Arabidopsis thaliana: one gene and its partners. The protein of the gene in region 3 interacts with the protein of the main gene of each other region in a pairwise test. Each region holds a gene or a part of one and is shown on either strand. Other genes may lie near its edges. The genes, in order: VTC2, VTC5 and PLPB.

What was found.
Region 1: the proteins of PLPB (region 3) and VTC2 interact in a two-hybrid assay, tested with the Arabidopsis thaliana proteins (2 studies listed by BioGRID).
Region 2: the proteins of PLPB (region 3) and VTC5 interact in a two-hybrid assay, tested with the Arabidopsis thaliana proteins (2 studies listed by BioGRID).

Annotation. Positions count from the first base shown.
Region 1 is NC_003075.7:13,493,032-13,504,130, forward strand, and holds VTC2 (GDP-L-galactose phosphorylase 1), read right to left. Parts: upstream 8,671-11,099; 5' UTR 8,115-8,670; coding exon 8,003-8,114; intron 7,915-8,002; coding exon 7,796-7,914; intron 7,714-7,795; coding exon 7,654-7,713; intron 7,541-7,653; coding exon 7,298-7,540; intron 7,204-7,297; coding exon 7,018-7,203; intron 6,923-7,017; coding exon 6,674-6,922; intron 6,591-6,673; coding exon 6,231-6,590; 3' UTR 5,925-6,230; downstream 1-5,924. Other genes in the region: AT4G26820 (GrpE-like protein), read right to left, coding at 422-1,150; AT4G26830 (O-Glycosyl hydrolases family 17 protein), read right to left, coding at 1,695-1,729, 2,024-3,368; SUMO1 (small ubiquitin-like modifier 1), read left to right, coding at 4,435-4,509, 5,119-5,268, 5,350-5,427; AT4G26860 (Putative pyridoxal phosphate-dependent enzyme, YBL036C type), read right to left, coding at 10,260-10,337, 10,470-10,598, 10,670-10,803, 10,878-10,965, 11,070-11,099. UniProt on the Arabidopsis thaliana protein: Catalyzes a reaction of the Smirnoff-Wheeler pathway, the major route to ascorbate biosynthesis in plants. Acts as a phosphorylase rather than as a transferase. Uses preferentially GDP-L-galactose and GDP-D-glucose as substrates.
Region 2 is NC_003076.8:22,361,849-22,372,879, reverse strand, and holds VTC5 (GDP-L-galactose phosphorylase VITAMIN C DEFECTIVE 5 (VTC5)), read right to left. Parts: upstream 3,874-11,031; 5' UTR 3,366-3,873; coding exon 3,254-3,365; intron 3,177-3,253; coding exon 3,076-3,176; intron 2,983-3,075; coding exon 2,923-2,982; intron 2,516-2,922; coding exon 2,264-2,515; intron 2,185-2,263; coding exon 1,999-2,184; intron 1,840-1,998; coding exon 1,591-1,839; intron 1,507-1,590; coding exon 1,171-1,506; 3' UTR 1,013-1,170; downstream 1-1,012. Other genes in the region: AT5G55125 (Ribosomal protein L31), read right to left, coding at 1-143; AT5G55110 (Stigma-specific Stig1 family protein), read right to left, coding at 4,519-5,010; AT5G55100 (SWAP (Suppressor-of-White-APricot)/surp domain-containing protein), read left to right, coding at 8,216-8,486, 8,645-8,805, 9,254-9,988, 10,112-11,031. UniProt on the Arabidopsis thaliana protein: Catalyzes a reaction of the Smirnoff-Wheeler pathway, the major route to ascorbate biosynthesis in plants. Acts as a phosphorylase rather than as a transferase. Uses preferentially GDP-L-galactose and GDP-D-glucose as substrates.
Region 3 is NC_003071.7:756,038-766,373, forward strand, and holds PLPB (PAS/LOV protein B), read right to left. Parts: upstream 5,028-10,336; 5' UTR 4,572-5,027; coding exon 3,992-4,571; intron 3,862-3,991; coding exon 3,654-3,861; intron 3,567-3,653; coding exon 3,502-3,566; intron 3,421-3,501; coding exon 3,341-3,420; coding exon of another isoform or gene 3,323-3,340; exon of another isoform or gene 3,268-3,322; coding exon 3,212-3,267; intron 3,124-3,211; coding exon 3,054-3,123; coding exon of another isoform or gene 3,036-3,053; exon of another isoform or gene 2,916-3,035; coding exon 2,775-2,915; 3' UTR 2,656-2,774; downstream 1-2,655. Other genes in the region: AT2G02700 (Cysteine/Histidine-rich C1 domain family protein), read left to right, coding at 406-1,905; AT2G02720 (Pectate lyase family protein), read left to right, coding at 7,136-7,332, 7,432-8,119, 8,231-8,473, 8,558-8,797; AT2G02730 (GRIP/coiled-coil protein, putative (DUF1664)), read right to left, coding at 9,243-9,287, 9,408-9,479, 9,612-9,692, 9,823-9,855, 10,084-10,158, 10,244-10,333.

The DNA of each region.
Region 1 (11,099 bases), on a different chromosome or scaffold from region 3:
CTTTTACATTTGGGCTGAATAATAATATATCCTTGTGACTTGGAATGATTGTTGTGGATGACGTGTAATGCAATAATTTAGTTTAAACAACAAAATCGTCATACTCCAAATCTTCAAAATCTCAATTCTTCCGTTTAGTTTGTCAAAATCAATTGGAAAATCCAAAACAAATCAGCGTGATAATTATTCCATTAAGATTCTCACAACAACTGTTTTCTCTGCTCTTGTGGATATGAATGTATCAAGCCTAATTTCTAAAGGTCATCGATTGTCATCAAATTAAGCATATCACTAATATTGTCATCAACAAAAAAACATACATAATTAAACATCATTGACCAGCCGTAAGTCATCTAACATCACACATCCCTAACAAATTGCAAAAACAAACTCTAATTGACCATTGTTAAATATCTAAGACCTAAGGATATTTAGGGAGACGTACACTGCATACTAGTCGACCATCGAATGACAAAACCGATCTATTTGTCCCATAGATCTCGTCATCAACATTATACAACTTGGCACTTACATTCTCACAAACGGCTGACATGTACTGTTCTCCCCATAAAGCAGAAGTTCCTGGATAAAACCCTACTCTCCCAGAAAACACCATATCAAGACCCACCACACCTCCTGTCACCGCCACTTCATCCTCCATTTCCCAAGCCGCCTCTTCATCGATAACTTTTGTTTCGTTTCTCTTGACAATAACCTCGTTCTTCTCTCCGCCTTTCTGCCAGAACGAATCAGCTCTTGCGGTCGACACGAGCTTTCCCCGGTGAACCAGCCACACTGAAGGATTCTCGTACGTGACATGGAGTTTCTCGTTAGGGTTTTTGATAGAGAACGTTGCGGACCAGACCGGGAGATTGTGGTTGGCGAACGATATATGCATTGATTGTACGTGTACTGTGGGGGGAGTTGGCGTAATCAATATGACAAACGTCACACCTGCTACACAAGCACCCATGATCGTGATGGCTAGAAAGAGTTTGAAAAGTAGTGACCAGTGTGAGATATTAGCTGGTTCGGATTCTTGGTGGCTCCGTGATGATATTGGTCGGAGTTCCGGGACTTTTTCGGTATCAATGACGGTTATCAGAAGCTGTTGATTCATTTCTTCAACCAGGTTTTGTTCATCATCCATATTGGGATTTATACAAGTGCTGATAATGTTTACTTGTTTATATGATGATATCTCAAAACAATTAGAGAAAAAGATTTATCTAGTAGAGATTATAAAAATTAAAGATATTAATAATTAAAATCTTTATCATTTTTTCTGATTGTATATATAATAGATAAAATGATTAATAAAATCATTGATTTCTATAATCTCAACTAGATGAATCTTTTAGTTTCTATAGAATCATTTTATCCACTATACAAGATTTTATTCCTTCTAATATATATACCCTGAAATTCTAATAATAATATACTAGAATAAAATATACTATTTTTGCAACATAAAATTCATTTTGTTTATTATGTCAAACTTCAGCATTCATGCAAGATTTTGAGAATAATCTAGTGATGATATAATTTTAAATTAAAATATATAAAATAGTTCAACAAAGTTAATATATTTTATACACAATATAAAATATATATATATTCCCGATTAGCAAACAATGTACTTAATAAATCAGGCAAAAAAAAAAACACAGAAAATTGCTGCCAACTATTCCGCCTCAATGTCCGGTGGGAAACTCGCATTTTCCATATCCTGCAATCAACGAAAAAATAATTTTGTTAGAATTATATAAAAATATTAAAGGTCACCATATATATCGATCTTACAGAAACGTGAACATCTTAAAAGGCCAAAATGACCCAATATAGCTCAACTTTCACAACCGCCAACTACTAAACCATTTGCCACTATCTTTTTCTTTTTTTCAATAAACATACCAAATGAATTTTTAAGCATAAATAACAGCTAAATATACACTTCTGAATTGAACTAAAGCAAAATATGTAATGTTATGATAAAAACAGAGGAGAGATTAGATTAACGTACGAGGAGGTTGCGTGACGACGTGAGCAGCTCCACCAAAGAAGCACGTACCAACACGACGTGAGTTCTTCTGGTAGTAACTATTGAAGGCGTACGAAGCGTGAGCTTCTAACGACTCAGGATGATAACACGTGGCACCTGGCTGAATCGGGCGGCAATCAGCTCCTCCTTCTCCGCAAGCGTAATCAAGAGCCTCCTGAAGTTTCTCCTTCGCTACCTCTCCGTTCGAAACGCACCATGTATGTCCCTCGTGCGTCACCGGAACTTTACCTCTGTTACCGTTGACCGGCGTCGTTGACTTTTTAGTGAACGGAACGTTGTACACTTTCCCTTCGTTTGGGTAAAACAAACCGTAGTTTCTCTCAGACGTTGGCCCCGGTTTCTGGTTTTCGTTGAATAAAGCGAATAAATAGACGTTAAGTGGCTCCGTCGGTCTTAACGGTGTTCCTTTACCCGTTAACACTCTCTTCACAAGTCCGGCGTTATACGCCGCCGCGTTAGATTCGCTTGCACCAATCTCATTCTCATCTCCAACGGAAGGCCACCCTGTTTCCGTCACCATCACCTTAACGCCTTTAAATCCGACGGCGGACAATGCCGCGTAAACGGCGTCTATTTGAGCGTCAAAGAGACTGTTGTACTTCAATCCGGTACCGGAATCTATATTCCCGGCGTTTTCTTTAAACAGAGCGTAGTCTAAAGAGATTTTATCGGCGTTTGCTGCGTAAGCGAAAAACGGATAAGCATTTACCATAAGATACGACGACGTTTGTTGAAGCAGAGCAAGCATTGGTTTAACAACCGGTTCGATTAATTCCGGTTTAAAAGAACCAGAGGAAGGCGGGTACGAATTAGCAAGCGCGCTAAGAGCAATAGGAGACGAGATCTTGATGGCTTTGTCGAGTTTATACTTAACCAGAGAGGTGTGAATGTTCTTCATCGCATTGACAAGATACGGCGTGATCGTCGGATCGACGAATACTTCGTTACCGACGGCGATAGCTTCGATCTCCGTCGCTGGGAAGTATGGCATTATGTGGGTTTTAATCCAGTTGTCGGCGAATGATTGGTGGGAGGCGGCGGAGGAGAGAAGCTCGTTAGGGAGAGCGACGATTACTTTGATTTTGGAATTTGCAAGTGCGGTTAGTACATTCTTATCGGTGTCGAAGATTTTGATACGGTTGATTCCTTGAGATTTCAGGAGGTTCACTACTTTCTCCGGCGACGGGAGATTGTTAGCTATCCGACCATAATTGACTCCGACCATTCCAGAATCTGTGGAAACAAAAACAAAAAAAACGCAAAATAAGAACAACGTAGTAGACACGGCAAATACAGAGACAGACATAGGTATATGAAGAGATTAAAAACTAACGTGCGTCAATGGCTGAGAGGAAGGAAAGAATCAGAAAATAAGGTAAGAAAGAAACGGCCATGGTTATTCTCGAGTGTATCTTCAGAAACAGAGCATTAAACGCATAGATGAGTGTCGTTTGATAGTTATGGAGACGAAGGAAAGTTTTTGTTGCGTTTGGGACGGAGCTGGTCTACAGTATTTATACGATTTAGGTGTAAACAAGTGCCAAGTGGGGGTTGTGGGATAACTAATAACACGGAAGAATAGCTGAAATAATAGATTTAACTAAAACTGTATAATTTTAAAGCTCTATTTATAGCAAAAAGTTTTACTTTACCATAATCTTCAGTTAAAGGAACTCTCTATAATTTTGATGTTTTTCTAACATATGAATGTTTTCATAGTTGATTTTGGTTATAACAGAAACCTAACAAAAACCTTGACTTTTATTGTTTCTTAAACAAGAGTCAAGACCTAGGTTCTTTATATGTTGCATTGCGCATATTTCGTTAATTCATCATCATTTCTTTCTTTTGTGAAGAGTGTGTGACAGACTTTATCTCCTTCAACTAATCTTTTTGTTAATACACAAAGTGACATGATTTATAGATTTAACAATTTATTTATTTCTTCTATGTCAAATTGTCAAGTCTTCAACAGATGATGAAATCATGGAGAGTGGTGGATAGGAGGACTCACGTCACGTGAGATCAGGAACTGCAACCTAAAATATTTAACCAAATGAAATTGTCTAGTGGGTTAGATGTGGCCCAATAAAAATATAAGCCCATTATAACGAAACGACAGATTTGAACATAACTAGCAGCCGTTGGATTAAAAGAGAACCTAGAGAGAATATGAACCGTTGGATAGATGCCCTACGATTTATGATAGAGAGGAATCCGATGCGTCCAAGTACAAAAGCCACGGCCAATTAGAGAGATTTTCAGAGTCAGTCTTTTTATATTCATCTCTCAGCATCATTCTTTGATTGTGTGAATCTCTCATCGTTCTCTCAAATTTCGTGTTTTTGTAACCGGACGGAGAACCTTTCACGATGTCTGCAAACCAGGAGGAAGACAAGAAGCCAGGAGACGGAGGAGCTCACATCAATCTCAAAGTCAAGGGACAGGTATCTCTCTTTCTCCTTCTCATCCTTGTGTGTTCTTGTGAATGTTTGGGTTTCTGATTTCGTGTAGCTGCGATTAGGGTTTTTCATTCTCCAATTTGGTTTAATTTTAGGGTTTCGTACTACTAGCTCAGTCTTAATGGTCTTCTTCCTCTTTTGTTTTACAGGTTTAAAGTATCCTGCTTTATGTTTACACGTTTGCTTGTTTTTGCTAATTGTTTATCAAATTTCTGAAATTATATAAGTCTTGTTTAGGTGTAAGTTGTTATTGAGCTTTTGGTTCCTGTTGTTGTTTGAGGGTTTTATAGTTTTGGAAGGGATAAGTTTACTTAGTTGTTGAATGTTCTAAAGACTGTGAACGATGCTGTCTCTGTACTAAGTTGTTATATATCTTCTGATGAAGTTGTAGTCTCTGTACTAAGTTTTCAATTAGTTTGGCTGATGTTTGTGCTTCAAATTCTCATAGACGAAGCCTTAAACTGAATGTTTGTTGATATGTGTTTAATTTTTCGACTCTTTCAGGTTACTACCAAAAGAGAGCCATGTGATTTAGTTATTGTTTCATATGCGGTCTCTAACGTTTATTGTTCCTTCTATATGTTTGTTTTATAGGATGGAAACGAGGTTTTCTTTAGGATCAAGAGAAGCACTCAGCTCAAGAAGCTGATGAATGCTTACTGTGACCGGCAATCTGTGGACATGAACTCCATTGCTTTCTTGTTTGATGGGCGTCGTCTTCGTGCTGAGCAAACTCCCGATGAGGTATAACATTCATTCTACATGCTTTATTTCTTACCTTTTGAAGTTTATAGTTTCTGATACTAATAATTCTTGACACTACAGCTTGACATGGAGGATGGTGATGAGATCGATGCGATGCTCCATCAGACTGGTGGCAGCGGTGGTGGTGCTACGGCCTGACACTTCGTCCAGGTTTAGGGCTTGTGTGTGATATGAATGGTTAAGGAGTAATCGGCATTAGGATTTGCAGACTTGTTTTTTTATCGTGACCATTCTCTTTAGAAACTAAGTTATTATGGTCACGAAGGTTAAAGAACCCTTTGGTTGATTTTTTGTCTTGTTCGTTTGGTATCGGATCCTATGATACTACTATTTCGGCTTAAAGGTGTTATTAACCCAATTATCTAAAGTTTGTTGGTATGGTAACGGTAAAAAGCTATTAATTATTGAAAGTGTGACTCTTAACATATACGTAGCTCATTGAGCTAATGGCGAGCAAAGATAAAATCCATCTAGTCAACTAAACAAAATATTACTTAAACATGAACTAGCATCGAGTTAGTGAATTATAGTCTATAGAGGACGACTTCATAACCAGAGCTTGTGGTGGTTATAGACAAGACAATAATCAGTATTATTACTCTCTCTCGAGTCTCGAGCTGTAAAAACTAAGTGTCTGAATCTTAACATGGTTGTTGATGGTAGAAAGACTTGGTTACAAGTAATTAGTTGGCTGAACCTGAACCCCTTCTTAAGACATATCCTTTGAATAATCAAATCTATACAAATAATAATCATATTAGTGAAGAACATATATAATTCATAAACACCAACTCATAACAAAAAACAAAGAACCAGAAGTCTAGGCACAAAATGCCCACAACCATCATACATAAACCAAGAAGCTTCAAATGCAACTACAAAGAGAGTTTGCTTATTTAGGCTTTTAATTATACATACAAACCACCAAGTCACCATATTGTTCACTGAAGGACAAGGCACTCGGCGGCCGTCCCATTTGTGATCGGACCTCCATGGGTTCTGTTGCTTTTCTGGTTAACATTGCCACTAGAGTTTTGCTGATGAACTATGGTTCCTTCAAGATCCTCCTCTTGGTTACTACAACCTATGGCTTCAAAGGCGAGAGCAGTAACCTCCTTAAACCTTTCCTCCGACAGAGAAGCTTCCGCAAGGAGCCTCCACGCGTTATCCTCTGAAGCACCTTCGTAATCCTCTTTCCTCTTCAGTACCATGTGACCACTTATCTCCCACACGGCTGGGTTCACTTGTGTTTCCAATACCTCCGGGCTCACTTCACCTAGAGCCTGTTTCTCTGCGTAACACTGCAATTTTTACATTCAAACTGTTATTCACTTTTGATTAAGTAATTCAAAACATGTATTCATCCAACGGTGTAGTTATATACCTGTGGCATTAAGAAGATCTGCCTTCCACAATCAGAGATGAGAATGTTGAAAGGAATGTTGTTGTTTTGAAGGCAAACACAGCAGTCTGAAACAGTATCAGATAGTTCTTGCATAGAGCTTCCACCTTCAAAGAGAAGACTTCTCACAGGGTAACTTAGAAGCTCTGAGATTTTGACACCACTAACAGTGGTAGTTATCTTCTTGGTAGGAGCTTTCTCCAGTGGGAAAGGCATGGCCAAGTAATAAGCCTGTTTCCAAAAACAATCACCACCAAAACAATCAGAACAAACATCTTAGATGAGCAAGGGTGAAAAGGTTATGCTTGGATCACTTTTGGATATACCTGAAAGTGGAGATGATTGATAGTGGCAAAAGCACCCAAGCTGTTGTAACCGAGTCTGAAGTATGGATTAGCAGCCTCAGCAGCCATGTGAACTGCAAGCAAAAGGCTTTTGTGATCGATCCTTTGAGGCAAGCAGTCAAGAACACGAGGAATCAGCAGCACATGGCCATACTCTATCGGACTAACCTGTTAAAAACAACAATAAAGAATTAATCTTTTGCTAGCGAAACCAATAAAAGGAAGAAAGAAAAAACCAAGCTCTCTGCACAAGAGTCTTTACATTGATGGCAACAACACTGGGAGAATTCTCAGGGTCAATAGGCATGCAAGGGAAGAACTGAACTTGGGCATCTTCACCAGCTTCAAACTGGAAGAGCAACTCTTCTTGGCCAACTTTAGTGAAGTTGAATTTGCTGCCATCAAAAGACTGCAACACCTTATCTACACGGAACTCAGTTGGCCTCTTCTTCAAGTGACGACCCTCGTTAAGCTGAGCAACGAAACCATACTTCCCCGGGATAACCTATAACATCAAGAGAAACAATCTTAAGAACAATGTAAAACATATCTCGGATTCCTCAGCAACAAACAACCCAACATAACTAGATTGTCAAACAAGGTAAGAAAGACAATTACTTTGGTTTCGCAGGCAGTGACATCATAGCGAAAAAGTCCTCTTTGGAACCTATCCTCCCACTAAACATAAGAATACTGATTAGACTCTTCCAAGCTACAGAAACCATTATCAGAATATCAAAATCAGTGGTCTATGATTTACCTCTCCGAGAACAAGGGACTCGAGAAAAGCTACAGGAGGCTCTATAGCCTCATGACTGATTACAAGCTTCTCTCCGGATTTTACCAGATTCTTACATGCATACAATGGAAGCCTAGCCCCTGAACAAACACATCATAAGGTGAATAAAAAAAAAGTGATAAAATTTAAACATGATTAAAAAAGACGATTCAGGTTTCCAAAACGTACCGTTAAGGCAACAAGCGCCGAGGCAATTCCGTCCACAGCCGACGGGATCCTCCGCTCCATCGTCCTTCTGGTAGTTCGAAACAACGGTCGGAACTCTTTTGATTTTCAACATTCTCAAAAAAGACAAATTTCGAAGAGCAAAAGAAAAAACTTCCCCCAAGAAAAAAGCGATTCAAGAGCACCAAAAAAAGAAGAAGGAAAAAACACTAACAAACCCTAACTCCTAAAACCTAAAGGAAAAGAAGTTAAAGCTGGAACCGCCACCGGCGAGAAAGAGGAGATCGGAAGGGCTGCCGCCTTCAGACGGCAGAGCTCCACGTCCTCCGTGCGGCAAAGGATTAGTTTCGATTAAACAACCCTTCTGTCGGACAATATGGACATGTGAGCTAACACCCCGTGATATCCCGTGTATAGCCGTGATTCCGATCACCTGTTCCCCGGATTTTTTCAAATCGAACGCCGGAAAAAAAGATTACAGCTAAAACGAACCCGACACTCAAAACAGCAGAAACGAAACGAATAAATGAGAGATCTTTTGATGTGGGTTTTTTTCACAAACAAAAATTTGAGAAGATGCCTGAATGAATAATTCTTTGAGGTGTTTTTTGATGATACAGTGTTTTAGGATATCGAATGGGCTTTAAATAGATAGGAGATGAGTGAACCAGAGAAGACAGACGACAAAATTTTAATTATATACTAATATTTCTCTCTTTTTTTCTGTGGTTGTGATTCGGACGTGAAATTTCTTAGGTCCTTTCTTGTGGATTTTATTTTTTCATCGATATTATTTTGTCTAATTGTATTTTTCTTCTAATCTAATTAGTTAGTTTGATTAGGCAAAGGACCAAAACAAAAATCTTATTCGGAAGATAAAATGAGATCTAAGTTTGATAAGATTAAAGTTGGAAAAAATATTTTTGCATGCAATTAAGAAAATTTTTATTAGTCTTGGGAGAAAAGTTGGAGCACTACATTTTCTTTGAGAGAAAAATAGATCAGAATGAACTAAAGAAAGATTTAAATCTTGTGTAGATTGGAAATTGAGAACTAATTGTAACTGTGTCTTACAAGTATTTTCAATTAAATTTGAGATAAACAATTGCTAAACGTTTATCCAAAGAGAATAACATTTGCTAAACCTAGTTAACCTTATGAATTATGATATACGTATGTTTAATGCCAATTGATTATGAATTTGAATTTCATTGTATATAATCGTAGATCGTAGTTTGCTGCATGTAAACGAGACTAAAAGGATGGAGGCGATGAAGAGTTCATGTGGCATATGTCTTCTTATGATGTCATGTGAAGTCATGTGTTATGCCACGTTTTATATTATCATAGAATATTATTATTATATTAACGAAATTTTCTTTTTGACTTTTTCTGTTCAACATTAATTTGTAAATTTATGTTGTCTTTATAGATAATATTTACATGGTCGTGTTTATTCATGGGACGGGGGTGTGGTCGTAGCAACTACTACGAGGCTCAATTTGGGCAAATGACTACCATCGTTCGTTCGGTCGTTTTTTTGCGAAACTATGATATAATTTTTAAATACATATATTGAGAAATATTTAGACCATTGCTTTTTGTTCGTTATTTTATGAGACAAAACTACAAAATAAACAAAAAAAAAACCAAACAAGGCAAGAAACACAAGTTAAGATTCGGAATCTAAGAAAAGGATATAGTTCTTGAACCACATAATAGTGGTCCATTATTTATTTGGCAGTCTCTACGACTACGATCGTACGTCCCTCCTTCCATCACCGTTTGTTTTATTTATTGTTTCTTTTCTTTTTTTACTTTAAACAACCATTTATCATGTTTTAAGACCTCGACATGTAATTCGAATTAGTATTGCATTAAGATTTAAAGAGTTACGGCGGTGGATCGGTGGTAGTCAGTGCAAGTAACGGATCATAATTGCGGTTGACCAAGCCTCTTTCACTGGCCTCTTTGTAACCATGAAAGCTGAGATGCTATTGGTACACCACTAAGTCCCAAATTCCCAATAATCGTGCGTCAGTAAACATCAATTTCGAGAGGACAAGTATCAAAATGCGATATCTGCTGTTACAAATATTCAACTCAGTTACAAAGCCCTTAACAATGTATTGATTTCTAATTTTCTATAAAGTAACTTTGTGAATACACCTAAGTTTATCAATGAAGAATAAAATTGTTTAAAATAATCGACAAAATAACATTATACATGAATTTTACAACAAGTGTTTGAGCATAGTAGCTAAGTTGTTTTCTTGGGGTACTCTCTTGGTCCGAAAATGGTGGAACCAACCCTCACATTGGTGCTTCCCATCTCAATCTGCAGAAACATAGTCAAAGATCATCTTCCACATATATGTGGTTCCTCGGATGAAAGAAAGAACACATTCAAATGATTTTCGATATTGAGTTGATTGCATTTTCGATATTAGAAGAGAGACAAAGATATTACCGCTAGCTCGAAGTCACCAGACATGCCCATGGACAGTTCAAATTGATCCTCAGCCATTCCAAGTGCCTTGCATACATCAGCTCTACAGTTTGAAAGTGTCTGTCCCGGTTTATGGGGAAAAGAATAAACCTTGGTAAGTAAAACTTGTAGGAATAACCCGAGAACACGTAAAACAAGTATCCAATCAAGTAGTAGAATACCCTGAAGTTCTCTGGGGTAGACGTATAATCAGGCATCCCAATAGTCATTAATCCGGAGAATACCAGATTTGGACAGTGATGTTTCACATGTCTTGCTAGCTCTACAACGCTAGAAGGTTCGATTCCAGATTTAGCTGCATCCATAATCAATCAGTCAGCCAACTGAAGAGGCTGGACAAGGAAATCAGCATAGAGGTAAAATACTCACAAACTTCTCCGCTTGTGTTCACTTGGACCAAAACCTTTAGTGGATGTCTCCCAAGATTTGAAACAGCTCGATCTAGATGATTTGCTACCTGTGAAATCAATCCCAAGTGATTGTATAACCAAAATAACCTCCTAGTAAAGTGAATTGTGCAAGTTAAACGCCACAACAACCTCTAATCGCTAGTTATAATACCTTTTCTCCATCCACACCATGAACCATTGC
Region 2 (11,031 bases), on a different chromosome or scaffold from region 3:
ATGCTTTGAGCCATTTGACGCTTAGCTCCAAAGTGATAAACTTTGCCAACATGGTGGATTCTTGTCATCATCACGTGCATCAATCTACCGCTCTGTGTCACATAAGAGATCCATTGCATTTGTGGGTGCAATCCTTTCTTCATTGTCCAACAACTCTACAAACAAACAAAACAGAACCATTCCTTCTTCAGTTTTGCTTAGATCCATCTAGCCTTTAAAGCATTCAATGAATCTCCAAACGAACAGAGTAAATATATGAACATTGTTGAGGCTTCTCAAAGATTCATAAACCAAGCAATGTCCATATGTAAAAGATTACCAAAATGCAAACTTTGTATCACTCACTGTCATGATCGACATTACACAATTGGCTTAACGAGGATGCGATATTTCTACCTTGTAGCTAAACACACAAAAAAATGAATGAATTTGGATTAAAATGCCCATAGTAGTAAACTGCTGATTGTAATTGGCATTTTATCGAACACCTTCCATGCATTTCCTTATTTAATAAAACAGATGCAAAACCTCAACGGCTTTAAACCCAACAAAACCCAATTAGGTTCTCTTTGTCATCGAAAGGGACAAGCAGAGACAAAATAAAAACACTTCTGGAATCCAAAACATCAAAAGAATGAAATGCAAAAGTTCAACAGATCAGTGAAATGAAGACGACAGACAAATAAATATAAATGAGAGAGTGAGAGATGGAGATGAAGAAGCGTTTACGCGAGAAAAGCTAAAAGCTTGAGAGATATGGAAATTGTTGAAGTATCCAAGTCTCAGAACTCCGGTGATGGCAGCTGAGAAGAATGTCGATCTGACTAAAGGAGAAGGGCCAAAGAAAAAACAAATGTTACAAAAGCTTCTTCTTCGTCTAGAGGGTTTGCATAAAGAGGGTTCCCAAATATGCAAATAAATCTAATACAGGATTTTTATGAAATTTGTTTTTTTTTCTTTTCTTCTGTTTCTTCTCTTTGTCCATCTTTAAGACTAGAGTAACTAATTTTTTGAATTAGGCGATTTCGATTTTATTGATTCAAAAGGTTCGAACAAAGACGTAACAAAGCCAAGAAGAAAAGAAAAAAACTACAAAACAGTAAAATGTCAAACACAAGTTATGCAAAATCACGACGACAGTTATGTTTTTGCTTTTAGTTATAAAGCGCCTCAATTAGAGACAGCCTCTTCTTTCACTGAAGGACAATGCACTATTGTGAAGCTGCCACCATTCATCGAATTCTGCTCTTCAAGCTCCTCTTCTTCTTCTTCTTCGTGACTACTAAAACCGATGGCATCAAATATCATAGTGTTAACTTCTCTGAATCTCTCCTCTGATAAAGAAACTTCAGCTAGTAACCTCCATGCCTTCTCTTCTGACGCTCCTTCATAGTCTTCTTTCCTCTTCAACACCATGTGTCCACTCATCTCCCAAACCGCTGGATTCACTTGCGTATCCAATAGCGTTGAGCTAACTTCTCCTAAAGCCTGTTTCTCTGCGTAACACTGCAAATCAAACAATGGTTAATTAGAAAGCTCTTCTTTTGACAGTCAATATCAAGTTTCGTTTATAATGTTGTGAGATTTAACCTGAGGGAGAAGGAAGATTCGTTTGCCAGAGTCAGAGATGAGAATGTTGAAAGGAATGTTGTTGTTCTGAAGACAAACGGATGCGTCTGATACAGTATCTGCGAGATCTTTAATGGTGTTTCCACCTTCAACTAGAAGACCTCTCACAGGGTAATTCAAGAGTTTAGAGATTTTGACGCCATTATTGGTGGTAGTGATCTTCAAGGAAGAAGCTTTCTCTATCGGGAATTGCATTGCCAAATAGTAAGCCTGTTCCAAGTAGAATCTCCATAAATATCACAATAGTATAAAGGTGAGAGCATTCAGTTATTTGGTTCAGTTCATGTTGCTTTATTCGATTTCGAGAATTCATAACAAATTAAAACCGATTGGTTATAAACAAATTTCGAACTATTTGATTCTGTTTACCTGAAAGTGAAGATGGTTAATGGTAGCGAAAGCGCCTAGACTGTTGTATCCAAGTCGGAAATACGGATTATCGGCTTCAGCCGCCATTTGAAGAGCAAGCAAAAGGCTTTTGTGATCAATCCTTTGAGGTAAGCAATCAAGAACACGAGGAATCAGCAACACATGCCCATACTCAATCGGACTCACCTGCGTTAAAAGAATTCTGAGTTCAGTTCTCAGATAATCAGCAAAGGAAAATAGACTCCTAAAAGCAACAACTCCTTACATTGATTGCAACGACGCTAGGAGAATTATCAGCGTCTAGAGGCATACTCGCCAAGAACTGAATTTCACTATCATCATCATTAGTGCTAGCTTTAAACTGGAAAAGCAACTCTTCTTGACCAACTTTAGTGAAATTGAATTTGTTTCCATCAAATGGTTGAAGAACTTTGTCAACACGGAACTCGGTTGGTCTCTTCTTGAGATGCCGACCTTCATTCAGCTGCGCAATGAAACCGTACTTCCCCGGTATAACCTATTATTACCAATGCACACCAACAACCAAACATCAACAATGTGAAACAGAAAATTGATTCTTCAGCTCAAGTAAATATCAACAATGTGAACCTGAAACTAGATTCTTTAGCTTAGGCAAACATCAACAATGTGAAACAGAAACTTGATTCTTCAGCTCAAGTAAATGTGAAACTAAAACTAGATGCTTTAGCTTAGGCAAACATCAACAATGTGAAACTGAAACTTGATTCTTCAGCTCAAGTAAACATCAACAATGTGAAACTAAAACATGATTCTTAAGCTCCAAGTAAACATCAAGTCATCAACAATGTGAGCTGAAACTTGATGCTTCAGGTCAAGTAAACATCAAACACATTTGGCTCTAAAAGTAAATCAATTAACCAAAAATCAAAGAGACAATAATACCTTGGTTTCGCAGGCGGTGACATCATAGCGAAAAAGACCTCTTTGGAAACGATCTTCCCACTAGAAAACATAAGGCATTTGATACATTACTCAAACAATTAACGAATTGGTTAACGAAGTGAGAACTTTTTAACATGTATCCAAAACCACTACCTCTCCAATAACTAAGGATTCGAGGAACGTCACCGGAGATTCTGTGTTCTCTCCGACGGATTTATCAAGATTCTTGCAGGTATATAAAGGAAGTCTTGCCCCTGAAAACACAAACAAAATGTCAGCAAAATTCAAATTCAAACAAAAAGAAGAACTTTGCCAGCTCTATAAAATGTACCATTGATGCAACACTTGCTCAGACAATTCCGACCACATCCACCTTCTTCAACTGTCTCATCTTTTTGATAATTCGATACAACTGTTGGAACTCTTTTGATCTTCAACAACATTGCTCACAAATATTATAATCTCGAAATAACAGATTAATACAGGACTCTAAGAACTAAAAACCTAATTAGAAAAAGGGTTAGGGTTAGTGGCTATTTGTGGAACCGCCTCCGGCGAGGAAGAGGAGATCGGAGGGACTGCCGCCTTCAGACGGCAGAGCTCCACGTCCTCCGTGAGGCAAAGGATTAGTTATGATTAAACAACCCTTTCGTTGGACATGAAAGCTCAAAGGCCGTGGCTTTATCCCGTAAATAGCCGTGATTACCGATTACCAATCTCCCCGGGGATTCGCCGGAGAAGGAAAACAAAAAAAAGGATAGATTTTTCGAGGTGGGTTTCAATCACTCTTTCAGACTTATAGTAATGGTAGGTGAGTGAACCAGAAAGAGAGCAAATTCACGTGTTTGATGTGTGAGATTTTGAGGTTGTGATTTGGACGTGTGGATTTTGTGAGGAAGATAAAAACAAGTGTTCACGGGTCATCTTTGAGGTTTTTGATTTTGACCCGATTTGGCACTTTTTGACCCGTTGGATTAGTATCCATCGGATAAGTCAACCTATTGACTTTGACAATGACATCATCTAGGTAATGTTCTTCCTGATGAGTTAACCCCTAGCTACATACCAAAAAATGATCAATAAATTAATTTAGAAAGCACCAAAATGAATTTATTTATGTTTGTAATGAAGAGTTTTTGATCTAACTTTAATGTTCCACTCATTCTTCTTGCATTAATAATTGCAAATTTGCAATTGAATCATATGTTTGATAGTAATCAGAGGACCAGCTATGAGGAAAGAGATTTTATTTTATGTATTATACGTATAAAAACATTATTCATGATATTATTTTGGAGTGTTTTTATACACTCCAATTATAAACCTTAGTAATAAAACAGCAGTATATATTGGAACGAGGATGTTCCATTTTATTCGTAGACATTGAAAATAGAAAAAATAATCTCCTTTATATACCCCTCAAAACATTATGGGAATCCAAAAATACACACAACACTTTAATTAATTATTAAGTAAATAATTAATTGGACCGACCTTTTTTAATCAGCGTCCATGTAAATAAATCATCCGTATAATTTTAGTTAAATTTTTTTTTTTTTTTTTTTTTTACGTTGGCGTGAATGAATGATTGATTCATCACGCGTAGTTACAGAGACCGTAGACGCAGAACTCGCCGAGATCGCAACGATGGTTACACTCACCGCAATGGCGTTTATCGTAGGCCACGTAAACGCACTGACCACGACAACACGTTTGCCCGAACTTGCATTTGTTCTTACATAAACCGCAGTTTTTGTCGTCGGTTGATAAATCCATACACTTGTTGTTGCAACAAGCCATTGTAGCGTTTGCTCCTGTGCTGTAATCGCTGCTGCTACAGATTTCATTGTCCTTGTTGCAATGGTCAGCTGCGTTTGGGTTACGGGCTTTTGGTTCTTTACCCTTGTCGACTTTTTCTGCCAAGAACCGACTTGGTCTGATCTTGATCGTTCCTGGTGGTGTAAGGTCCTTGAAAGGGTCTTCGAGAGCAAATGTTGCGGTCTTGGTGGTGGTTTTGGTGGTGACGATGGCGATTGTGACCACGGTTGTTAATGCAATTGTCACGAGTAGCTTCATGAAATGGGCCATTTTCTCTTGATCTATGAATGTGTTAGTGAGTTACAGCGAGATATATTGTTCTTCTTCCTTTCTTTGTCTCCTTCTTCTTCTTCTTCTTGTTTAAATTATGTGAATGTAGAGAGCTAGGAAGAGAATTTGGGAGAGAGAGAGAGAGATTGAGCTGTGAAGAATTGAGGAGAGGGTGGACTTAGGGTTTATAGTTGTGATCGAGACGAGTTGACGCGTGAAATGTGGTGAAAAAGGTTAAGTAAGGTTTCAAGCGATCGATCTTTTCTTGGGGAGAGGTGTTCTTTTTTCCTTCTCATTTCAGTAATTAATTTTGTGCATGTACATGCACATGCTTATTCGCTTACGCGTTCACAACATAAGAGTAAAAATAAATTATGTGTGATATACGTAATCAAAACATATTAATTTTAGACAGCCTCTCGTACTAATAATGTAGTAATGCATTTGTAATATGTTACCAGGTGTGAGAGAACTATCTTTGGAATATGGTTGATTTTACATGTGGTGATCATTTGAATTCATTATTATAGGTTAGCACTTACCAATGCTAACTTTCATGTTATTTTTTTATTGATACCATGTTAATCAGAGTGTTCTATATATATCGGTTTTTTTAAAAAAACTTCAAATTATAATGACAACATATAACAAAAATAGAAAATAAAGATGAGGATTCTAACTCTTTCGACCAAAGGAAACCATGCAAATGGCTGAACTTTACGGTTCAGAATCGGTGTTTTTTCATGGATCTCCGCTAATCGAGTTTTCGTTTATGTTTTTCTTGTTTGTGTTGTATTGTAGTTTTTGGTGGTTTTTTTTTTTATGTTCTCTGTATGTAAATTTCAAAAATGATATAAATTTAACTTTTTACCAAAAAAATATAAACTAAAATAAAAACTGCATATGCGTGACAAACCATGACGGAATCCATCGCTTTGCCTCATGGGACGGTCTGAGATGATTCAGGCGAGATGCAAGGAGACGCAAAGGCGTGATTTTGATTAAAAGAAAATTACTTATTGATTTTATTTGTCGTGAAAACCACGAACCACTAATTTATATATTTCTAAATAAAGCAAATTGAAGCTATATACATCCTGCCTCTAATGGACACTTGCTTTAACTTGAATTCTAAAGTTCTCGATCCGCATACGCCCAATCAACCACGATTATATAATTTAATATATGAAAGGCCATTTTTACATTGTAACTTGTAACAATAGAATAATATGAAAATAATCTATATAAGTCAATAAATAAAAGTTTTTACTTTAGAAACACATGAGCAAGCTTTGTAAGGCTAAGTTCCTTCCATCGTCACTAGTCTTCTGTTCATATCAGACAATCTCTTACATAAATGATGTACAACTCCGTTCTCTTTAGTCTTTTCCATGGAGTAATTCAACTCTTTTTTTCATTCTATCTCTAATCTTCTAATATGGTACCATAGTTCCAAGTATAATTACCCGACATATGATTTCTCATAGTATACATATATAGTCAGTGGCGGATCTAGAACCATAATTAACCCGAGGCACAACATATTTATAAATTTTTAAAATAAAGTACAATATGAACATTTCTTAAAAGACATGTAAATGGAAGAAAATTTTTTGAAGTGTCAATCAACATTGGCAGTACCTTATATTAGCATAATTCCTTCAAACAGTTATAGAAAAAGATAAATAAAGTAAAAATAAGTTAAATACTGAAAACATTTATTACTTGAAAATAGTAAAATTAATGAGTAATAACCAACTGACTAGAAAAAAAGTCACTCTAACATGGGGCACAACAAACGAATTCTTTCATCTACAATACAAATTGCACAACAAACTTCAAAATTATCAAATCTTGCATGGGGCACGTGCCCCAGTACTTATACACTTGCGTCCGCCAATGTATATAGTCCGTTTTGTAGTGATATGTCCGAGACAATGAATATCTCACATTACAAATGAAAATACAAGGTATATAGATCTTTCCACTTTATTTTAAGTTACAAACAAACCCGTGATTCCTGATATAAATATGTGTAATGGAATCCGAATTATGATGTCCATTAGTACGATGATGACCATTAATTAAACTAATACAACTTGCTTTGTTAAATGTATGTTTTTGCATAAATGTGTACAATCTATATTTAGTTTTTGAAACAGTTATATAAAATTTGAATGTCCCTATAGTAGCTTACACTAATATAGCTCTATACACCAACGATCGAACTATCGAAGAAAATTCTTGAATAAACCAGTCAAAGACGTCCACAAGGCACAAATATTATATACGGTGTTGAAGAAAGCAATAGAGAGAGGTCAACGCTTTCCTCCAATTTGTTAAACAATGTATAAACTTTACGTCAAAAAAGTCAAAACCATTCCCTTGTTGCTTATTGGTCATTTTCCGACCTATACGATAATCTTATTGTTTCTCTACGATATCTTTCTGTTGCATTAACTATTAAGCCACACGCAAAGTCGTTTTACATTAACGTTAGTTTAATTAGATAACGTTAGTTTAATTAGTATTATTTCTACAGAGTAATTGCTTTCGAAACTTTTGAAAACAATGTGCCATACAGGTTGTTCAAACATGGTTAGATAGATGCATAAAATTACAAAAATTATATAGAGAGAATATTAAATCACTTAACCATTGTATCATGAGGAGATAGCTTGAAAGCCCTGACAAAGAAAGAGGGTTCATAAGTTACCTAAAAAAGAAAGAAAGAGAGCTCATAATATTTTCATCAAAGTAAAAACTCAATGTGGATAACCGTCACATCAAGACGAGGCAGATACTAGATTGAGCAAAATTCTCCAATGAAATCACAAATGTTGAAGCACTTTAAATTTGGAGATTTCACTGCTTTTTCACTCTTAGGGTGGCTTACATTTATTAAAGTTAAGGTTATGGGGAAAAAATATAAACTTTCTTAAGCAGGGTTGAAAACGCAAAAACATAAAGAATGCACGTCGTTGTTAGTTATTTTCTCCCAAATGCGTGTGGTTTTATTACTTTTCAAACGGCAAGTAAAAAAGTCTTATAAACGACGTCATTTAGTCGACTTGATCTCTTTTGTAAGTCATCACATCTTTGGGTCAATCACGAATTTGGAACATCCGGTTCCAAATTACGGATTACACAGACCCTAGCCTCTTCCCCAAATCCCAATTCTCCATTGCTTTAGAAGAATCACACAATGGATCTAGAGATTGTTGGTCGTCACGCTCTCTTTTTCGACGATGATTCGATGGCAACGTTTGTCAACTCTCCGACGGCGCTCGTTGACTGGAACAGCCTCTTTATTGACCGCTACGATGTTCGTCATCTCCTCTCTTCTCCTCCTCCTCCACGTATCAAACGCCGTCGTCCGAATTCAAACGATGCTGACTTGGAATCGGAGCTCGATCACGAGCGTTATCTAGATTTACCGTCGGAATCTCCATCTCCGTCGGATGATGATGAACACGGTAAGGATGATGAACTCCGTAGAAATCTCCGTTAATCTATATGGTAGAGAGACTCGAACTAGCTATGTTAGAGACATAAAACTGTTCTAGAGAATGATTACGAAAAATTCAGATCGAAACTTAATTTGTTTGCCCTTTGGATTTGCTTTACTCTCCAGATATGAATGAGGATTCAGCAAATACAAATGCGGATGGTTATCGTGCTGTCTCTTTTTCATATGGAAGCTCTAGTGATGTCAATGACCAGAAAAATGCTGCTGATATGGAATCTGGATTTCACCCGCCTTTCCCCGTGCCTGATTACTTACGTCAAAACCTGGTAAGTTATTGCTTTAGATTGTTCCCTTTAGCAGTATGCTAGTTTTTGCTAACTTATTTGGTACTTAAACTGATATTGGCCACGTAAACATCTGAAAGGTGCATTTGTTATTCTAAGGACTACTATGTCTAAGTTTCAGATGCTCGGAGAAGAGATGGAGTTGTCTAAGGTTGTCATTCACATGCACCTTGTTTCCTTTTGCTGCCATGACAAGGGGCAGTGCAGGTGGGATTAAGATGATAAAAATTCATGACTTACCAAGAACCTTAAAACTGATTGCACACCAGATGATGCATTTCTATACAGTTCTGAATTTTGCAATTTATGGTTCTCGATACTTATGTGAGGTTTTATTATGTATATATACCTGCGAGTTGCCAAAGGTGTCATTCATCATATTTCACATTACTAATTTTTTCTTGTATATTTTTTTTCTCTCTTCTTTCAGCCTCCAACTGAGAAATTACATCAGATTATCACTAGGACTTCAAGTTTTGTAAGCAAACACGGTGGGCAATCTGAAATTGTCTTGAGAGTCAAACAAGGAGACAACCCTACATTTGGGTTCCTAATGCCAGACCATCATCTTCACCTTTACTTTAGGTTTCTTGTTGACCATCAAGAGCTTTTGACAGGAAAGTCTTCTGTAGAAGAGAAAAAGAACGAAAGTGAGAAGGATGGTGGAGCTTTGTCATTGCTTGGTTCGGTTTATGGGACTGTAGAAGATGAAGATGCTAACGAAGAGTCTGCAAACGACTCCAAAACAAGTGAGTCCGCCAAAGGTGATGATGGTGTTAAGGTAACTGATTCCAATGGACCTGAAGGGTCGAAAGGAGCTGCAAAGATTGCCTCTAAGCATTCTCTGCCGTTGAATGATCATGCATCTTTCATAAAAAGAAATCCCTCTGTCAGCGCAGTAAATGTTGTAGAGAAGAAGCAGATCAATACAGAAAAACTTGTGACGTCTGATAAGTCGCAACCCAAGCTTGAACTGCAGATTGTGGAGCCGACTACTGAGATGAAAAGAGTGATTGATAAGATAGTAGACTTCATTCAAAAGAACGGGAAAGAACTAGAGGCTACTCTTGTTGCACAGGATGTGAAATACGGGATGTTTCCATTCTTACGTCCATCTAGCTTATACCATGCATATTATCGGAAGGTTCTCCAAGAAGCCGAAGAGGTAATTCTGTTTCAAGTTCTTAAAATGTTCCTGCTACAAATTTGGTGTGTTTTCACGTGCTTTTTAAACCTTGTGATTGTAACTTTCACTAAAATGTAAAACGTTGGTTGATTTCATATGCAGTTAAAATCAGGTGACAAAGGCGTTATTATCAGAAAAGAAGACGTGAAGCAAGAGAAGATGGGCAATGCTGTAAAAGATAGCAAACACGGGTTTGGGAGTGTTTTACCAGATGATTCTGCCAAGAAAGAGAAACTAAAAATGGTTAGTGACAAACCAAAGGTCGAGTTGCACAATGAACCATTCAAGCCTGTCCAACCGCAGATGAGGGTCAATGTGGATGCGAATACTGCTGCTGCTATTCTTCAAGCGGCTAGAAGAGGCATAAGGAATCCCCAGTTGGGGATTCTAACAGGCAAACCCATGGATGAGACTTCTCAGACCCTTGGAAATGATGTGAGTTACCCTTCATCTAAGTCCCCTGATTTGGCCAAATCTACAGGTCAATCACTCTCTGGCTCGACTGCTGCTAGTGAAGCTGATTCTTCTGAAGCAGGCTTGTCTAAAGAGCAGAAGTTGAAGGCAGAAAGATTGAAACGTGCAAAAATGTTTGTGGCCAAGTTAAAACCTGATGCGCAGCCAGTTCAACAAGCTGAACCGTCGCGAAGCATATCAGTCGAACCGTTGGACTCTGGGATTTCTGGATTAGGTGCTAAGGCTGCCAAAGAAAGAGACAGTAGCTCGATTCCATATGTAGCTGAGTCAAAACTAGCGGATGATGGTAACAGTGAAAGACGATCAAAGAGGAATTACCGTTCGAGATCACAGAGAGATGAAGATGGTAAGATGGAACAAGGAGAAGAGGAAGAGAGCAGCATGGACGAAGTTACAGAAGAAACCAAGACTGATAAGAAGCATTCATGTAGTAGAAAACGGCATAAACATAAGACACGATACTCTTCCAAGGACAGACATTCTCGGGACAAGCACAAGCATGAGAGCTCCTCAGATGATGAGTATCACAGTCGTTCGCGTCATAGACA
Region 3 (10,336 bases):
GTATTTTGCCTTTTTAAAATAGAAAGTTTCAGCTTAGCTGTATTTGTTGTTTTTATCAACCAGCTTTAGCTGTATAAGTTTAAACAATGACTTTCTTACAGAAGATGCATTAATATATCTCATTATGTTATCGTACATAAGATGCATTAATATATATCATCATGTTATTGTAATAATACTGTGAAAATAGCATATAGCCCATAGTTTATGTGCCACTTGAATTATATGACATGTTCACTCATCAAAAACTCACGACTAAATTATATCATTATGAAAGAAATATTAAACAAATTGCAAATGGGAGGACATCACGTTTCAGTATGTATGTGTCTATAGATATGTAAAGGCAAGAACGATAGCAATATCCCAAAAACCTCTTAAAAATAGTCTCCGATCTAAGCAGACATGGACGTGGTCGGAGAATTTCAAAAAGGAGAAATCGATGGGAAACCATGTCTCATATACCAAAACGTTATAAAGCCACAAATACACAGCCCAAATTCCTCCGATGAAAAACACCTCATTCAAAACCCATTACCAATCCAAAACATGACTAAAGTTGCCATTGATTCCGGCGACAACCTCCCTCCTCCACCTCTATTTATATGCCCTTCATTACGATTCAAACTAACAATAACGATCGAAGCTAAACTATTAGATGATGGGGGCCCAACGCCTGATGTTGATGGCAAGCTAAGGATTTCCCATCTCCTTGGTGACAATATGATGTATGGTCATGACATACTCCCTCTCTTTTGGTGTAACAATAAAGAAGCTGATCCAAAAAACGATTGCAGTATTTGCAATACCCGAAAGGTCGGCACATGCTATTATTTCTGTGTCGAGTGTGATCAAAGGTACCACAAAGAATGTGTTGAGTCTCCACTAGAGATCAATTATCCTTCCCACGTCAAACATTCTCTCCAACTTTATAATGTAAAAACATTTGAGCATTGCATCTTGAGCACAAAGAAAGCAGAAGTTTTGCTTTATTATTGTGCTCTTTGCGACATTTATATGCATGTCCTTTGTGCTCAGGCAAAAATCCCTTTTCTCATAGACCAACCAAAAAAGCATGACCATACCCTCACCCTTTTTCCTAGACAAGCTTCCTTAACATGCAATGTTTGCGGTTTGGTAGATAAACTTCATCTCACTTACGTCTGTCGTTCTATATGCGATTTTGTAGCCCATATAGACTGTATCCATAACCCACAAACTATAAGAATCTCTCGTCATTTCCACGGTGTGTCTTTCACTTCTTCTCTTCCATCAGGAAAATGGTGTTGTGGAATTTGTCGCCGAGAGATTGACAGTGATTATGGGGCATACAGTTGCAATGTGTGTAAGGACTACGCTGTTCACACAAGATGTGCATTGCGTAAGGATATATGGGATGGCATTGAACTCGAAGGAGTACCAGAAGACAAAGATGTTGAGCTTCCGTTCTACAGGATAGCTGATGGAATCATACTTCACTTTTCTCATGGTTGTCATATGAAATTTGAAACCAATGGAGTTTACAAAGAAAACGAGTTTTGTCAAGCTTGTGTCCTTCCAATCAACGAGGAAAACTTTTATGTCTGTGTGAAATGTGACTTTATTCTACATGAAAAATGTGCGGATGCCCCCCGGAAGAAGGTTCATCCATTACATCCACATCCAATTGAACAAAAGGTTGTCCATGAAAACCATGAATTCGAATGTGCTGCTTGTATGCGTAAGAGTAGTGGTTTTGGATATGTGTGTACCATCAATGGTTGTGACTACGAGCTAGATGCAGTGTGTGCTTCGGCTTCTGAGCCATTTAATTATCAAGTCCATCCACACCCTTTATTTCTGGCTTTAGACCCAAAGAAACGACAGTATGCCACATTTGCAAGTCAACAGGAGTTCAAAAGGTAGTAAATTGCATTGAATGTGATTTTATCATATGTTTTAAGTGTGCTACCCTACCATACACGGTAAGGTACAAGCATGATGAGCATTACCTCACGTTTTGTCGTGGAGACGAGGCAAGTGGCTCAGATTGGTGTGAATTATGCGAAGGAAGCTTAGTCGTTGGAGGAGAAAAAGGGTTCTATAAGTGCAACGAGTGTTGTACCACACTTCATATTAATTGCTTACTTGGCCCAGATCCATATTTGAAGCCGGGTCTAACTTTCCCATTGTGTGGCGGTGAGATTCTTTTTCAACGCAACAATTCTGCTTCTCGCCCAATTTGCCATAAGTGCAATATCCGGTGTCCGTATCCAACAGTTTTGGAATACAGATTGGAAATGTCTTCTACTTTTCTATGTTGCATTTTCCACCTATAAATCTTCGTGTTTTTGGAATACAGATTGGAGATGTCTTCTGTTTGTCGAATCACGAGCAGAACATTTTCGATTGTAATATTTTTTTCTTGTTTGCCGATACCAACCTTGTTTCTTACATTCTATAAACGATGTTGCATTCTCCTGAAGGTGAAAAATACGGAATCTGTAAAGTGAAACCGAGATCATTTGGATTTTCGACATTCGGAACACTTAATAATATACTCATCTAATCATATTAACTTGATGAAACTAACTAGTTCTTACCTCTTGATACTTATCCGCATTCAATAAATGACCTATTTCTAACTCGATTCACGTTCTCTTGAGTGCACATACTCGGTAAAATAAAGACTTATATTAATGTAGTATGTCAAATGATTATACATATAGTAAAGATGTATGTCCAATTCACTTTAGACTCTTCTCTAAGTCGACGCATTTTCTTTCTGGCGTATATTAGCATGTCACCATCAATGAGCTTCTAACCGCAACTCTAACCGCACCGACAACACTCAGTTGTCTCGTCTCTGGTCTCAGCTCTTTAATTTCAGTATTTCTACAACTTGCTTCTACTTGAACACCCACAAAATATGCTGTCTAAAAAAAGCAGAAATCAGTAACTGTACTAATTACTTTCAGTTCTACATGTCATATTCGGGTTTTGTATCAAGGCCAAAAAATGAAAGACAAAAGGATTTGGTAACAGGAAGTATGTAGTCATGAAGGGATATGTACCTTGCCTGAAGCATTACGAACTGGTGAGATGTGAAGAAGATTCCAAAATGAGCTCTTATCTTTTCTGTTACTGATAAAAAACATATATGATCAGCCCAAAACAAATCAAAGAAACAAGATTCGATCGCAAAAATGTTTTGAAGAAGTAAATCTTCAACCTGTAATTTAGTATTTGCACTGTGCATGATTGTCCCTTTAAGATGCATTCCTTCATCTGAACCAAATAAAACATTCACAATTATCAATCATGCCATATACTAATTAACAAGTTAAAACGCAATCTCTACCTCGTATAGTACTGAGGAATCAGTATCAACCCCACTCAGAAATCTACAGTTTTGTCCCAACACTTCCTGTCTCTTGTAACCTACAAACATTGATATAAATAAGAACTGTGACCAAAATCTAATAACGGTAACTTTATTTCTTCAAACCTAGACACACTTACCGGTCAGTGTCAAAAAGGCATCACTCGCATAAATGATAGGCATGTCTGGTAAGCATGGATTGGTTCTGCAAAGTTACGAGAACAATGTCAATATCAAAATCTATTGTAGCAGACTGTAACTCCATAACACAATAAAAAAATAATGTACTCACAATACGAAACTTTGTTTGATTCTACCGAGAGAAATAACTAACGACGAGCTTAGACAATCTACTCCTCGCAAGCAGTACCGCTTTCCGCAGACTAATCTACCACTCAACTCGCTGTAATGCACTAAGATAGATAACACATTGTTAATAGCTTCCGTAGCTTTCAGCTTCTCGGACTCACTCGCTTCACACTGTTCCCAATCCTCTAATCCTGCAATACAACAATGCTTAAATCAATACTTAGAACGTTCATTAAGCTATAGGATAAGATTCTGACTGATTCAAACGCTCTCTGAGGAATTTCATCAAACAAGTAAAACGCATAACTTTAAAAACCAAACCTTGTTCATCATCATCACATTCCACTGGTAAAGCTCGATCCTGACACACGAAATTACCAAAACAAACCTCTCTTCGACAAGAACCAAATGTCGGAGAAGTATCCGACGACAAATCTCCGACATTTCTCAACTTCTTCCGATGATGTTCTCGTCCCGAAATCGGGACCTGAACCGCCACAAAATTGGTGACTTTACCATCATCTTTCCCAAAAACAGGACACATATGAAACAACATCCAAAACGGAGACCCAGATTTACGATAATTCAACAAGCTCACTTGCACTGATCTCTCTTCACGAATCGCTTCACGAATCTCCATGATCGATCTTCGATTAGTCTTAGGTCCTTGAAAAACTTTACCGTTTCTTCCGATCACTTCTTCTCGTGAATAGCCAGTCATTTTCAAAAACCCTAAGCTCGCGAAAACAATCGGGTGACCCGAAATAAACGGGTCGGTGATTGTGAAATTGTGTGGAAGCTCCTCTAATGCTTCTTTGATCCATAACGTGTATCGACCGCTAAAGGAATCTTCTTCTTCTTCTTCAGTGAAAACTGATTCTGAAGATTTCGTTAAGGACATAATCGTAATAAACACTCGATGATGATTACTCTTCTTCTTCTTGTCAGTCTAGTGTTTAGTTCCAATCCCATGTGGGTTTTCAGGCGAAATTGAGAAACTTTTTCTTCAAAGTGAATTCGAAACACGAAATCCAGATTGTGAAATTTGAAATCAGGAATCAAGAAAATGTTTTCATTGAAAAAAAGCGTAACTTTGGAGAAGATAAGACAGAGGAGAGAAAGAGAAACCAGAGATCCTTAAGTAAAGGAGAAGAAGAAGAAGATGAAATGAGAGATACGGAATTGAGAAATTAAGAGTCAATTTGATTGTAATCTCTATCTGTTAGAAGAAACGTTCTTCTTTCTTCTTGTCTGATTTTTGTTTTGTGGCTATCGGAAGAGGACGATTGGTTTTGTCGCGTTTCTCAGTTCTTCGAGTTGTTAAGATATTAAAAATAAATATTTTCAGATATTTGTTTTCCTAATTTGGTAAATACAAAATTTATAAATTAAATTTTCAACAATTTATCTAAAGTGATTTAGGGATAAGTACAAGGTTTATGTAGGGTAGACACAAATTGGATAAGATAAGTGAACTTAATAGTTCATTTAGTAACTAATGTGTTGCGAAAAAAAAAAAAATGTTTTTGATAATAATATCTTAATTTGCCGACCAAACAAAATAATTAATTTAAAAATTTATAATTTGTGATAACATTAAACAATAGTGTAGGTTAAAAAAATTTTAATTAATTAATTTGGACATAAATTTTTTTGATCTATTAATTGATTAAAAGTTTATTAATAATTTTATACCAAAAAATTTAAAATTCGAATTTCAAATATTATAATTTATTACAAATTTACAGATTAATAAAAATAAATGTATAAAAAATTTACAACAAAATATAATTATAATCGTTCACCAAAATTTTATTAAAAACAAATTTTATTAAAAATATTTATAACATAAAAAAAGAATACATTGTATATCATAAATCTAATAAAATTAAAAAAATTATCTATAAAAAAATTATATATAACATTTTTTATAATTTACAATAAAAAAATAAATATTCTAAAAACCAAAAAAAATCACTCCGGATATTTGGACTAATCTAATGCTAATTGTATTTGTTAAATATAAAATTATGCACCTCTTATTTAAGGAGTGTAGTGGGTCCTAGAAACCGAGATTCCACGTAAACAAAGGCTGGAAAAAGACAAAAGCTGACTGTCCATACTTATCTATTTCTCTTGTGTCGTGTGGCTTTGTTTGTGTTATCAAATCGATGCAACCTGGCTTACGTGGCATTTATCATTTGTACGTTACTCTCCGGTGCTAACATGTGTCATTCACTCATCGCTTATTATTGATTCGAGTAAGGAGGCCCATTGGGCTGTATTAAGCTGTTTTGTTTTTAAAACAGGTTCGCAGACGAAAATAACAAATTGTCGCCAATGTTCATATCGGCCAACTCAAATCTATCATCTAAGAGTAAGACCAAAATTAAAATTCACAGTACATTGCTACACTACTACTATAGAAAATGGTGAAATACCTAAAATGTGAAGTCTATGTTCATGTTTGCAGTTGCTAAAGACTGATACCAACGATTGCGATCATCAAAAGTTATTGCGCGCAACACATTTTTTGTTCGTTTGGTAGTCGAACAAAAAATTTGGTCGTTGGTCGTTATATAACATTTTAGGGTGAAGGATTCGAAAGAATTTTTTATAAAATACTAAAATGAAACACTTTAATTGCTCGTTATAAATCAACTTTTAATCAGAATTTTAATTTATGTTTCAAAAGTTAAAAATCTCAAAACAGTAAAACGAAATACTGACTAGATATTTGTTTAAACGGAATCATACGTTTTTTTTTTTTTTTTTTAAATATCAGGAGGTTTTGGACTGAAGCCCGTAATCCCCTAGGTCTGAAACCACAGCATGTAATATTAGTTTCGTCTCAAGCGTCACTCGAATTTCGCCAATTGAGCTAACAACACTTGGTGGAATCATACGTTTATCTGTTTATATTTTCAACAAAAATTATCATTCCGTAATCTTATGATTTCTTTGTAAGTGCAAGTGGTCTTTGAAGTTTTTGATTGAATTTTGTTGGCTTTTAGTAAGAAATGATTTGTTACTGAATTCATTTTGTAATCAATCCTAAGTTAATCAAAAATTATAAACAAGAAAACCCAAATAAGAGTAATATTTAGGTTTAAAGACAAAAATAACTGAATATATTCCACAAAAGAAGGACAAACAAAGAAAGAACAATAAAAAAAACCACACAAACTATAATTGGTTTACAGGAAAAGTAACAGAGATATTTACAAATCAATGGTAACCTAATAATTACTCTGTTAATCGTTAAATCCTCCATTAATGTCTTTCATTTTCCCTCTCTCTTTCAAGTTCCTTGTTATTTAAGAAAGCCATGAATCCGATTATCTATTTCTAACCCTGGGCCGACCAGAAAACTTTTTGGACGACCCAAACTTCAAGGGTTCTAATAAATTCATCACCGGAAAAAGATACATATAAAATAAAAATCTCTCACCACTGCTGATTCAAATGGTGAATCTTGGGAGCTACGTTTTCGTCTTTGTCGCGTTGTCTCTCACCGTGGTGGTTCCATCGGTTCAAGCCCACATCGCCGAATATGATGAATACTGGACGCAGCGTCAAACCAACGCATTGCGAGAAACTTTGGAATCTTATGACCCGAACCCAGAGAACGTCACGGACCACTTTAACTACCATGCCGCCTTGTGGGTTCTCTAAAATTTAACCTAGTTAGGGTTTTTGATTTGTTATCAAAACCTAACTTCTTCCGGAAGAAACTAATGTTTTCTTGTTTTCTTTCTCAGAGCTATGGAGACGACAGGGATAGTAAACGAAACAAGGAGGGATCTCCGTCAGGTCGGACGCGGTAAGAAAACAACTAGACGTGGAGGAAGGTTTGAATCCCTAAACGCGATCGATAAATGCTGGCGAGGCGACAAAAACTGGGACAAAAACAGGAAAAAACTAGCAGATTGTGTCCTCGGATTTGGCCGGAAAACAACCGGAGGCAAAAACGGACCGATCTATGTAGTCACTGACCCATCCGACAACGATCTACTAAAACCAAAACCAGGGACTATAAGGCACGCCGTGACAAGGGACCGACCACTCTGGATCATCTTTGCGAGAAGCATGATCATAAAACTGCAACAAGAACTGATCATAACGAATGATAAAACAATCGACGGTCGGGGAGCGAAAATTTATATCACTGGGGGTGCAGGTTTAACGTTGCAGTTCGTCAGGAATGTGATAATACATAATATTCATATCAAACAGATTAAAAGGGGAGCTGGTGGGTTGATTATAGACTCCGAGCAACATTTTGGGCTTCGGACAGTGAGTGATGGCGATGGGATTAATATTTTTGGAGCAACGAATGTTTGGATCGATCATGTCTCAATGACGGATTGTTCTGATGGGATGATTGATGCGATCATGGGATCGACTGCAATTACTATCTCCAATTCCCATTTTACCGACCACGACGAGGTAAATAAGGCTACAAATAAATCATAGAAGTATCTGTGGTCCAAACAATACACACTGGATACAAACTTCGAATGCAGAAACTATTGAGGTCTAAGGTCTCTCTTAATGCAGGTGATGCTATTTGGGGGTACAAACAAGGATGTGATCGACAAGAAAATGCAGATAACAGTTGCGTTTAACCATTTTGGTAAGAGATTGAAGCAAAGAATGCCTAGAGTCAGATTTGGTTTGGTCCATGTTGTGAACAATGACTACACTCACTGGGAAATGTATGCAATTGGTGGAAACATGAACCCTACCATTATAAGTCAAGGCAATCGTTTCATTGCTCCTCCTATTGAAGATTCCAAGCAGGTAAAAACTACGAAAACTTTCTCTAATCAACAAATCACTACAGCTACACTTGAGAGACATAATTGAGAGAAATTTGGAATGCAGGTTACAAAGAGAGAGTACACACCTTATCCTGAATGGAAATCATGGAACTGGCAATCAGAGAAAGATTATTTCTTGAATGGAGCTTACTTTGTGCAATCAGGAAAGGCGAACGCGTGGAGCGCAACCCCAAAAAATCCAATCCCTAGAAAGTTTGCAATCCGGCCACAGCCAGGAACAAAGGTCAGAAGACTTACCAAGGATGCTGGTACGCTTGGCTGCAAACCTGGCAAGTCCTGCTGAGAAAAGCTTGTGCGTGTGTGTTCATGTGTTATGGTAACAAACAAAAAAAAAAAGACAAAAAGAATTGTATGTGTTGTGGATGGTGTTTGTAACAAATTGTGCATAATGCAGTATATTATTAGAAAAAATATAGGTTTCATTTTTTGTTGGATGCGAAAAAATTGAAGGAAAAAAAAAGCACATTCTTTTTATTTTTCTCAATCTTCTTACTTGCCTCAAAGGACACACTATTCTAAATACCAATACATAATAATCACTCCTATTAATCCTATACCTTCTTTCTATCCAAATCCAGGGTCATTCTCGTCAATGCTATCAGACTCGTGGCTTCTTGCTTCAAAAGAGTAAACAACAAACGTTTTAGACAGATTTGGCTTTGTCCCTGTTCATGAAAGAAAGAAGTAATATGACCTCAAACCTTGATGATATATTGGCACCATTTGAATTAGCAGTCATCTAGTAGCTGTATCTTATCGCTTTCTTTTAAACCCTGAAACATTTCAAGAGACAGATCGGATGAGTTTTGAAGGTTTAATACAATCATACTGCAATGCTGCATCTGATTCTATCTGCGAGTGTACTTGATATCATATATATTGATCCAAAATACCTCTGAGCTTGAAGTTTCTTCGGTTGTAAGTACTATACATGTGTTTGACTTCCCTGAAAGCCGAAGCTTCTCCTGCAAGACCACATGAAGCAAGTTATCATAAAAGTCTATGGACAAGATGTAGGAAGTTCAGAGGTGAGACATCTAGATTATTGTTAGGTACTAATTCTCCATCTAAACGTTTCTCCTCACAAGATTACATACCTGCATCAATATATCCGGCATCTTGTGATTTTCTCCACCCAAAGAGTCGCACAGATATATCAAACCCATGTTCGCAATATTCTGCCCAGCAAAAAACAGTAACCAAAGAAAATAAATTAGTAAATTTGATCTTTTACTTCATTGACTCCATGATTAGCTGGCAATGATCCCTTCAAGTGTCTTTGAATACATTAATAATAACAAGATGTACCTGCTTGTACTCAATGCTATCTAATTTCCCACCCTGAAAAATAGGGATATAGATGGAATCAGTAAGCAATAACGACCAGTAGAACCTCTGTATCTTTTGTTTGCTATATTCATGAATTTCAGTTAATGTTAACAGTTATAAGCAAGGAAAAGAGAAAAAGTCTTAGTGGTGGTCACTTAATTCTGGTAGTCAGACATGTTTTTGCTCGAGATGACAATGAAGAAACAATAAAAAGGAAATTTTTAACAGCAGTATACGCACCATACCACCAAAGATGCTATGCATTGCGTCAAAATCATCTCCAATGTTAGCAAGATCCTCAAGAGCCAAACCCACCTGTTCCATAGGTCTGAAAATTGTTAATACCACCCTCGAAAGAAGAACTCTTAAAACCTATTAATATTCAATGCCATATTCATACATTATCCTGGACTCCCTTTAAGAGATCTTTCTGCAAGTCTAGCTTATCGTCCACCTTCTGAAGCCGCTGGCTCAGGTGCTTCTTAGCATTCTA